3 linked regions of the Nothobranchius furzeri genome follow. The protein of the gene in region 2 interacts with the protein of the main gene of each other region in a pairwise test. Links are inferred from orthologs where the notes say so. Each region holds a gene or a part of one and is shown on either strand. Other genes may lie near its edges. The genes, in order: pin1, ankrd40 and ahcy.

Region 1 (2,854 bases), on a different chromosome or scaffold from region 2:
ATATTTTATTTTAACATAGTGAGCCAATAGAAAGCCTCAATTTGAGAAATTCTCTGCCTCCTAATTAGAATTCTGTGCAACTAGCTAGCTAGTGTGAATGTAGGCTTGAACTAGTTTACTAGTATACATTTATGTCCTCACTAGTTAACTAGTTTGGACAATGGATGCATCAACTAGGTAACTAGTGAGCCTGCTACAATCAACTAGCTAGCTAGTGAGTCATTAATGGTTCACTAGTTAACTAGTGGCACTGCCCTACTCCAACTACTTAACTAGTTAGGAGTTTTGCCTTCACTAGTGAACATGTGGACACTTTGAACTGTCACTAGTTAACTAGTGAGACACAAAAACCTTCAACTAGCTGACTGGTATGCATTTTAGCCCTTACTAGTTAACTAGTGAGCCATTTTTGTGTCACCTAGTTAACTAGGAAGCCAAAATGTGTTCACTAGTCAACTAGTGGGCATTTCTTCTGTCACTAGTTAACTGGTGTGCACATTTTGGCCATCACTAGTTAACTAGTGAGACACAAAAACCTTCAACTAGCTGACTGGTATGCATTTTGGCCTTTACTAGTTAACTAGTGAGCCATTTTGTGTCACCTAGTTAACTAGTGAAGCCAAAATGTGTTCACTAGTTAACTAGTGAACATTTCCGTCTCCCACTAGTTAACTGGTGGGCTCATTTTGACCCTGACTAGTTAACTAGTGAGACACAAATACCTTCAACTAGCTGACTGGTATGCATTTTGGCCTTTACTAGTTAACTAATGAGCCATTTTTGTGTCAACTAGTTAACTAGTGAAGGTCAAAATGTGTTCACTAGTTAACTAGCGTGTACAGTTTGACCCTCACTAGTTAACTAGTTGACCTGTTGACAAGATATCAGAATTAATGCTCAAGCGGCTGGCCAAATTGGGCAAAGTTAACAAGTGGGATTTTTACATTCAGTAGTCAGCTAGTACGAGTTTTTGTACCTTACTAGTTGACTAGTAAAAACTAAATGTGTTTTAACTAGTTAACTAGTGGACATTGATCTGTCCACTAGTTAACTAGTGAACACACTGAGCAATACTAGTTAACTAGTAAGATATGAAACATTTTAACTAGTTAACTAGAGAGAATTTAGGCCTTACTAGTTAACTAGTTGACATTTAGGCTGTCACTATTTAACTAGTTGACACAAACATGGCTAACTAGTTAACTAGTGGACAGAAATGGCTTACATGTTCATGACAATTCTGGCTGATATCCTGATATCAGAATAAATGCTCATTTGGCTTGCCATACTCAGGAGATCGAAACTCAGACCTCTTTTTGCTATACATTCATGTGGATGCCTTGGCTGAAGAGCACCAGTGAGAGTACCAGATAATGTTTTACACCGCTGCAGCACTTCCAGCATTTTTTCTATTTTCAACACTTTGGGGGTGTTTTTCATAAGGAAATAACAGCATAACATGGTCATAAGCTTTTAAAAACCATACCGAGAAATAAAAATTCCATTAAATATCTTAGAAAAGCTCCTACGTTGAAAACAGGTCATTAATGCAAGGTCAGAATGAAAAACTGTGAAACATACTAGGACAATTATTTTCTCTAACACAACATTTCTGTTTCAGGTCAGATGCAGAAACCTTTTGAAGACGCCTCCTTTGCTCTGAAAGTGGGAGACATGAGTGGTCCTGTTTTTACCGACTCTGGAGTCCACATCATCTTACGCACGGGCTGAATGCAACACACACACACAGCACCACCTTCTGCTCTTAGAATGACAGAAAAACAAAGGATAATTAAATGACACTGAAATGCAATGAGCGTTTCAGATATTCCTGATTACTTCAAGCTTTTAATAACCAGAAAACGGCCGGCATATATGAACATTATTGCCTGTTGTAATAAATGCCCTCCAGAAACACTCAGCAAAAATGAGCTAAAGCAAAATGCTAGAATCGGGTCGTGCATGTCAGAGTGTTATGTTTTTCTGTAACAGGTTTCATTCCTGCTGTTGGTGTGTGCCTAAGCAGTAATCTAATCTGTTTTTGTTTCTTTGGTTCTGTTTAGAAGGTTTTAAAGACAGTTAGGGTGAACAAAGTGTTATTTTACATTCTTTACTCTCATCACATGACTTTTTAGTTAAACTTTGTTTTCGGCAGAGATTCAGAAATCTTCATTTCTTTTTTTGGGTTGATAATGTGCATGGTCTGTTCCCCCCGGACTTATCAAAAGCTTGCAGGTTTTAGCGTAAAGTAAAGGCTTTTATAGCTTTAATGCTCAGATGAACTGTTACCACTGTTGTCATTGGGGAATACAAATAAAAAATAATAAAAAATCTGTTTCATTTTTATTAATTTTTTTGTCAAATTTTTTTATGTTACGTTTCAGGTTTCTAGATTCCTAAAAACATTTAATCCACACAGAAATATGCCTGAGTATTGTAACAGAAAAACAGATTGAAACAAATAAAAACAAGGGGGTTGGTGGAAAACCTTCCCAGATAGTTGTGTACTGAGTCGTCTGCTTCAGCTCTGTGATATTTTGTTAACATTTTACAAACTGAGTGTATTGTCACTTGTCTGGTTCCTGGTCCCAAATGACTTCCTTGTTGGATCTCCTCCAGCTAGTGGACCCCTCGTCCCCCAAAATAAATCACTGACATGTAAAGCGAATGACTGCTAACTGAAGCTAATTCCAGAGCAGTGGCAGATTTTTCTGAATACGGGGCCATCAAGGGGCCACGATACAGAGGGGCTAAGTATTAGTCCAACATCTTTACACAAAGTTTCCTATCTGGCTCTTTAGTGTTTGGACTTGAAATTGCATCCACTTAATTTCATTCCAGTTCAACATTATTA
Region 2 (4,340 bases):
GAAACTGATCTAGCCATGTGATCTGTAAGCTCTTTTAATCACTAAGGAATGTATTTTTTATTGATTGATTATTATTATTATTTTTTTTTTCAAATTTTCAAGTACACTTCAGGTGTTGCACTTGCACCATTTTGGATACACTGTCCTCTGGCTCCAGCCTTGTTTTATATTGGTTGTATTAAAACAAAAAAAAACAATCTGAAGTTGTTTTTAATTTACCGGTCCGGCCCACTTGGGACTAGATTTCTCGCAATGTGGCCCCTGAGCTAAAATGAGTTTGACACCCCTGATCTAAAACATGTTCACATAAAAATTCTGAATTAGGCCTACTTGGAATCTTAGACAAGAATACATTGACACCCGATTGGGCACTGGCGAACTTAAAACACCACTGCCATTTTGGGTAGTTTCCTCACTCTTCAAACCAAACTGGAGCCAATGCAGCTGGGCAACTATGCCTGTGTTTTGTGCAACCTACGCTGCAGCAACCAGAGCACTACTGAAAACAGATCATGTGGAATTTCCATTGACATTGCTAGCATACCTGTTGGGATTTAATATATTAGTTAATTTATTTTGTTTGATTATAGTTATATTTTAATTACCATGCCATACTATATCTCTGATTTTGTGAAAAAGCGTAATAAAATGGGTTTTCTTCAGTTAAGTAAACACAATCCTCATGTGGCAAGGTGGAGAAACGAGGGCCCGGGCAGGATTTGATCCCCAGACTCCCAGGTGAGAGTCATGTGTGCTAACCAGTCAGCCAAAGGGATATCCCCTTGGCCAAGTAGCCAGGGCGCATGATCAATACTATTGATTCAATAGACACTGTGACAGGACGCTCACAGAATTAAAAGCACCGGGGAAAAAATGTGGACCTATCCAAGATGGCTATCTGCTGCAACACCCCGGCTCCAGTCCATGCTTGTAACCGTTCGGAATGTAATGCCCTCCTGTGGACATGATTGAGAACTGCAGCATGTTAGATTAATTTGATCGAAATAAATACAATTAAGTGGTGCACATTGGCGAGACCTTACTGATATAGCTATATTAAGTATAAACATTGTTACAATTATTTTGAATAGTTAGAATCATTTTCTTTCAACCATTTCCAGCGTGATGGAAGCAACACGTGTGTTAATTAAATACATTCTTTATTACAATTTTTTTTAAATTTTTAATCTTGTTAAATAAAAGCGCTCATTTTTACAGTATAAAAGTTTTTTTTAATTGGAAATTGAAAACAAGTTATTTTAAGAAAGATGAGGGTGGGAACTCTTAACATTCGTTCGCTCTGTTGTCACATCCTAACATTCCCCACCCCTGACCAGGTGGCTGTGGTGGTGTTTGACAGCACTCTGGTGGAGCCCCGTCTCCTCTGTTAGGATTAAGCGAGTAAACGGAGGAACGCTGGTGGAGCGGTAACACCAGGAGTAAATGATGAGGACAGAAGTCGCTGCTTAAGGGCCGAAAGCCCTCAGAGTCAGATTAGCGGAAGCAGTTTGCTGTTACAAGCTAACACCAAGCTAGCCCAGCTGGTTAGGTTAGCCGGGGACAATTTGGGGGAAATTCTTGGATAATTACAAACTTAACCAGTTGTCTAGGCATTTATTTAATCATATGATATCACAACGCTAGTCGCTTTGCCAAAAATGTCCACGACTTTGGATAAAGAATTACAGGAGCGCCTGAGAGAAGCCTCAGCCATCGGAGATATCGACGAAGTGCGGTCACTGGTGGAGAGTGGAGTCAATGTAAACTCTCAGAACGAAATCAACGGATGGTGAGGGTTGCCGTTCAGAAGTCTGGCTTAAAAGAAGCCGAAACTAATTCGAGTTGTTTTCGGCAGCGTTGTGTAGCAGTACAGGGATTAAAGTGGGCAGCGTTATCCCTTTAAGCTCAGAGCTTGTTTTAACCTGTTTCGCGCTTTTTGTCTTTCTCTTCCAAACCGGAAGTGGCTTTAAATTGGTGTTGGACACAGACTCACTACTACTCTCTATCTGAATAAGCCACTAGTTTGTTGACATGTCTGGAGATTTTAATCTGTGTTTTGCTCATTGTTGAATAAAGTTTGTCTTTTTCCAACAGGACTTGCTTGCACTGGGCTTGTAAGAGGAACCATAAGCACATAGTGTCCTACTTACTCAGCTGTGGGGCGGATAAAGAAATCCTCACCGCTAAGGATGAGCTGGCCTCACAGTTAACTTCCAAACCAGAGATTAAGCAACTCTTAGGAGGTATGACTGCTTCTTTTTTGTTTAATCAGTTGTCTTATATTTTCTTCTTATCAGTTCCTACTGATATGTGAATTACACCTCTACTAACTTCTCAGTGTTGCATCATTTATGACTTTTCCAGATATAAAACAGACATTGGTGTCAATCATCTTTGCTCTATATTTTCACAGTTGAGGTGGAAGAAGTGCCTGAAGTCAAGGAGCCTGAGTTGCCAATCATCCCAAATTATCTGTCCAACCCGCCCTTCATGTATTCCAAGATGGACAACAAGTCTGAGATCATCCAGAGTCATGCACAGAACGGCTCTAGAGAATACAGCGAAGACACTCAGAGTGATTCAGCTTCCCTTTCCTCAACAGATGAGCTTCAGAGGTCCCAGAGTATGGTCTCTGGTGTCTCCACTCCACCAAATCCTACTGTTAACCACGGTCAACCCCCAGCTAGTGAACTTATTCCCGATTCTGAACAAAATGGTGTGTCCTCGTCTCACAGTCATGCTGTTGTTAATCGCACCGTGCCTATAGACCTGTCAGTGGAGCCTCATCTGATCGGTCATGCTGATTACCCCCATGTTGTGGCACACAACGGTACCGTGAATTCCCCTTCGTTGGCTGCAGCATGTCCAGGACTGGCTAGCAGCAGCAGCAGCAGCCAGGTTCAGGCCCCGGTGGCCAGCACTAACCCCACCATGAGCAGGCAGCAGTCCATTCCACATCAGCTGAGCTACAGCCAGGGCAATGCACCCATGCCGGCCTTTCAGCCCTTCTTCTTCACCAGCACCTTCCCTGTCAACGTTCAAGGTGGTTTTACTGTGACATTTTTAACTCCTATAACTCATTATGCAGGAATTTTTGCATTGTGGTTGACTCTTCATATGAATGGAGATTAGGGCTGTGCGATCTGATGATGTAAGATTAGGGATTATGACGATTTTTCAAAGCTCGGAGATTGTAGAACCGTCTATATTTGCGATCTATATCACCCGTTTGTGCCGTTATTCCTGGACACATCACACATTTGCCTCTGTTGGCCATAGCTGTCAGACATACCAATGAACCAATAAGAGCAAGTTTTAGGCAGCGTGTTTGTGTTTAGCTGAGGAAAATAATCTAATAATCGATGCATTAAGATGCAGACGTCGTTGAAGAAGCACACCATAATCAAATAGCGCTAGCCTCTAGCTTGGTCCATCTCTAAGCGGTTATGTATTCTCATGCATCTGCTCGATCAGGAAACCTCTGGGTCAATTTTCTCTAAACTTTGCGTTTGGCTTTGTGGCTTTTATTATTTGGGGATGTTACTTTGTGTTTGAGCGAGCCTTTGCACCGTGGCTGCCGATCAGAGTTTAGTTTATCCCGTCTGTGTGGAGAAACAGGCCATGCCCCGCCCCCACGTAATCAGGAAACAGCTATGGAGAGCAGTGAGGGCAAACTAGCAGGATCATCTGAGTAGAAGATACAAACACATCACAAATTTAGCTTAACATGATAGTTTTTTCTGTAGTAAAATTAGGAATTATAGGATATGAGCCACCTCTAAATAGAATTTAAATTATTTTTGTGTAATTATAAATGTCAAATTAATAAAGGTGCCTGTGGGACATTTGAGACACGTAGCTTTAACGCTTACATCTCCAATCTGGTCCGGGAACGCCTTGGGGTCCTGCCGGAGGAGCTGGTGGAGAAGGCCGGGGAGAGGACAGTCTGGAGCTCCCTAGTTGGGATGCTGCCTCCGCGACCCGGACCCGGATAAGCAGAGGAAGACGATGACGATATCATCCACCCCTAACAGCGATGTAATGCAATTACAGCTGTTGAAAAAGGACAGTCGAATAACAAGAGTTGATCCAGTTTCACAACAAACTTAAAACCAGAGGCCAGCTCTCTCCCCAATTCCGCACACGATGTCTGACAGAGGTGTCCCTGTTTCTGTTTCTTTAGAGTTGGTGCTGAAGGTTCGAATCCAGAACCCAAACGCCCGAGAGAACGACTTCATCGAGGTGGAGCTGGACCGTCAGGAGCTCACCTACCGCGCCCTCTTGAGAGTCTGCTGCCGCGAGCTGGACATCAGCGCTGAACATGTGGAGAAGATCCGCAA
Region 3 (3,656 bases), on a different chromosome or scaffold from region 2:
ACTTGCTCTTCAATGTTGATGCTTTATCTCCAAAAATAACACAAGCCTGACGGAGTTCTGCTGTGTGGTGGAGTTGCTAATGCTAACACATTCTCCCCCGTCATGAGTCAAGATGGGTGAGCCCATGAATCTTAAATGACAGAGTGACAGATCTGGCTTTTCGAATCCTAATGCAGGAGATGGGTGAATGAATCTATTTTCATGTTCACGCCTGCATGAAAAACTCAGAGTGACAGTAAAAAAAAAAACGGTTTCCCTTATGATGTATAGATATTTGGACTCTGGACGATATTCTTTATGAAGGAAAACAGATTAGGCAAAAAATGAACGAGTTCTGGTACCAGGTGAGTAATAGACTCGATAAATCCGTTATTTATACTTAGGGCTGCGCGATTAATCAAAAATTTATCGTTATCGTAATTTCTGACTAACCGATATAATTTCTCCCATGTCAATAATTTCAAATTAAAAAAATATATAAAGACGTGTAAATTGGTGACGTTCATGTCCCTTTAAGAAGCTGTACCACTTTGAGTCACATGACAACGTGACTCAATAGCCTGGTTCCTCGCTCCAGGTCCAGGACACATGGGGATAGGACATTTTCTGTTTTAGCCCCGCCCCTCTGGAACAAGTTACCTCTGAACATGAAGCTGTCTCAATCTTTGGCTGCTTTAAGAGTCGCTTGAAGACTCATTTTTATCATCTGGCTTTCATCTAACCTGTCTGGTGATTTTAATAGTTTTTATCTTTGTTTGCCATTATTGACCATTTCTTTTTTTATCCTAGTTTTATTGGTGTCTTGTTTCTATGTTTTATTTGTGCTGTGTTCAGCGCTTTGGGTCTCCCTTCAGGATGATGGAAAGCGCTTTATAAATAAAAGCCGATTGATTGTTCGAGACGAGCAGCGCCTCGCCTGGAAAAGAGACGAGAGCGACGGACGCAGCAGGAGGAATGGCTGAAAGCCGGCGTTTAAGTCTGACGCGTTTCCCTACATGTAGCGAGTGACGATGGCTGAAGATATCGCGTTAGTGTTCATAATAGTGGAAAATTCTGGTGCCCATTAGCAACTGAAACACATCCTCACATGCTTGTAGATATATTCTAGACATGTGCATCTGAAGATATGACTCTGTAGTGGTCATCATCAACCTAACATGATTTACAGATTACATATGACCATCTCACATTCTAGCACAGCATGTTTGGATCAAAATAGGAACCAATCAGATCTTCGATCAGACGAGAGCCAGGTTTTTCAGCCGACGGAAAGCAACTGCAGCGCCTTGCTCCAAATTTGAGATCACGAGGCCATCGTTGCCTACGTAGGCGTGATGTCAGAACAAGTCGGCGTAAGTCGGACACAAATCTAATCAGCATGCACTGCACACCGATCACTGGTGATGTAATCTGCATAATCTGCACAGAACTGGCTCCTATCGAACACGCCCCATCTGGCGGACGACTTTTGTTTTTGCCCACACGTGTAGTTATTGAGGTGAACTCCCCAATATACCATGATATTGATTTTAGCCCATGACGCCAGCCCTACCTATTATCTATATGGCGTCTACCTCCAGTGGTCATTGAGCAAGGCAGAGGCAGCCTGGACAGGTCTCCAGTCCATCACTGGGACACACAACCATCACACACTCACACATGCCTAGTGACGATTTAGTCTCCATTTAACCCAACATCCATGTTTTAGGACTGTGGGAGGAAATAGGAGAAACCCCACAAATATACGAGAACATGGTACCTCCACACAGAAAGGTTGCAGCTGGGATTCAATCCTGTGACCTTCTTGCTGCAAGACAACAGTGCTACCAACTGCACCACCATGCAGCCCTTCATAAACAACAATTATACAAAACACTTATAATGCAAGCAGGATCATAAGAAGAAAATGAAACCAACCTGCTAGTAGTTTGGGGTACTTCTGGTGGACCAGATTGGTGAGATCTCCTCCATCGTCCAGGATCATGTTGAGGGGCTTGTCATCTTTAAAGTACAGAGTCTGTTCGATGCACCAGATGTACTCCTCATCCGTCTCGCCCTTCCACGCGTAAACTACAGAAATGGCAACATTTACTTCCTTTTATCTCTTCTTCAGCATTTTCATTGCTTTATAGCTGCAGACTTGAAGCAATGAAGGCCTCACCAAACTTCATGTGTTACCTGGAACGCCCGATTTGGCAATGGCTGCAGCAGCGTGATCCTGAGTAGAGAAAATGTTACAGCTGGACCACTGGACCTGAAGGGGAAGAGAAGGTGTAATGAGTGTCAATTACATTTAATTAAGGACCATAAGACATTAAAAATTCATATCGAGTATGAAATCCATCTTATGGACACTGGGTTATTTAAATCAGAAGATTGGATCTTTTTATTGCAGGGACTTTAAACAACACTTTGTATTAACTGAGAGACAAGAGAAGAGAGACCTTCAAATGTTTAAGGAAATTTATTACTAAACAATTTTAAACAATTTAACAAGACTAACTCTCTAATGATGGATGCTCTGTTTGAATGAGGTGTGAGATGGTTGGTGTGTGGTGAATGAGTGTCATTCAGAACCCCCGTATCCGGAAAAACAAAGTCTGAGTGAGAGATGATGTTCTGCTCCTAACTTATCAGAGTAGCTTCATAACCACATGAGACGCCATATTGTCGCATCCACATACCCTCAGAATTGAGACCTCCGTACAGATCTGGATGCCAGGTCCACAGACCCTCCTCTGGTACTGGAGCCGATGGAACAGCGTCAACAGTACGACAAACCAGTCTTTGGATAGTCTCCAGGTAAAAAGCGACAGGTGTTTCACAGCGTCAAAAGGGGACCCTCCTTGGGTCAGCGAGTTCAGCTTTTATTCTGAAAGGTACCGTTGCTTGGTTGGTAACAACGCAACAGAATTCTCCCAGCTTGAATGGTTCTCAGCTTAAAAAGAGAAGTACAGATGGCCAGTCCAATACTTCACTTAACATACGGTGAACTTCATGGGATCTTGAGAACGAGATCTTGAGAACTGAACTTAAGATGGCGTTGGAACTGTTATATTAATCTGGATGTTTTTGATTCTGGACGAATCAAAGCTGACAGATTTATAAACACCACAGAGACTCTGCCACGCATCAGACTAGGAAGGTTCTGATTGGATCAGTACAGCAATGTGTCATGTGATTGTTTACCTCAGTGTGTCTAGTGAACTAGAATAAGTCATTTACTTATTAAAAACATTAATCATAATATTGTGATTTCACAGATCGGTCACATTGTATTATTGACTACAGTAACAGTTGTTTTGATTAGCTTTATTGAAAATAGAGTTCTTTGATTTAATAAAAGAAAAGAGTCTCTTCATCTTCTGTCTTCATTGCTGGAAAGTAAACAGTTTAGAAGCGAATGCATGACCTTGAGGCTGTTTCATGCACTCTGGCGCTGTGTCAAAGGGAACTGTGGAAAAGGTTAAATAACCTTGGAGGAATAGCTCCTTCATCACAATACAAAGGAATTAAAACAGCCAGAGTTTAGTTACCACAGGAACAAATGGATCATCAACAACCGGGGCCAAATCACCTTTACCCCTTTACCACAATCCAACTCCAGCACTCCACATGCGAGTTAAGGTTTACACGAATGCTCACCAAAACATTTA

Evidence for each region.
Region 1: the proteins of ankrd40 (region 2) and pin1 interact in binary tests that used the Homo sapiens proteins (3 or more experiments, as listed by UniProt). The two-hybrid records come from large-scale screens. The link is inferred for Nothobranchius furzeri from reciprocal best matches to the Homo sapiens genes ANKRD40 and PIN1.
Region 3: the proteins of ankrd40 (region 2) and ahcy interact in binary tests that used the Homo sapiens proteins (3 or more experiments, as listed by UniProt). The two-hybrid records come from large-scale screens. The link is inferred for Nothobranchius furzeri from reciprocal best matches to the Homo sapiens genes ANKRD40 and AHCY.

What each region holds. Positions count from the first base shown.
Region 1 is NC_091744.1:9,176,947-9,179,800, forward strand, and holds the end of pin1 (peptidyl-prolyl cis-trans isomerase NIMA-interacting 1), read left to right. Parts: intron 1-1,621; coding exon 1,622-1,731; 3' UTR 1,732-2,346; downstream 2,347-2,854. UniProt on the Homo sapiens protein: Peptidyl-prolyl cis/trans isomerase (PPIase) that binds to and isomerizes specific phosphorylated Ser/Thr-Pro (pSer/Thr-Pro) motifs.
Region 2 is NC_091752.1:53,186,110-53,190,449, forward strand, and holds the start of ankrd40 (ankyrin repeat domain-containing protein 40), read left to right. Parts: upstream 1-1,444; 5' UTR 1,445-1,658; coding exon 1,659-1,789; intron 1,790-2,094; coding exon 2,095-2,243; intron 2,244-2,413; coding exon 2,414-3,043; intron 3,044-4,183; coding exon 4,184-4,340.
Region 3 is NC_091743.1:74,933,130-74,936,785, forward strand, and holds part of ahcy (adenosylhomocysteinase), read right to left. Parts: intron 2,255-3,656; coding exon 2,179-2,254; intron 2,071-2,178; coding exon 1,918-2,070; intron 1-1,917. UniProt on the Homo sapiens protein: Catalyzes the hydrolysis of S-adenosyl-L-homocysteine to form adenosine and homocysteine. Binds copper ions.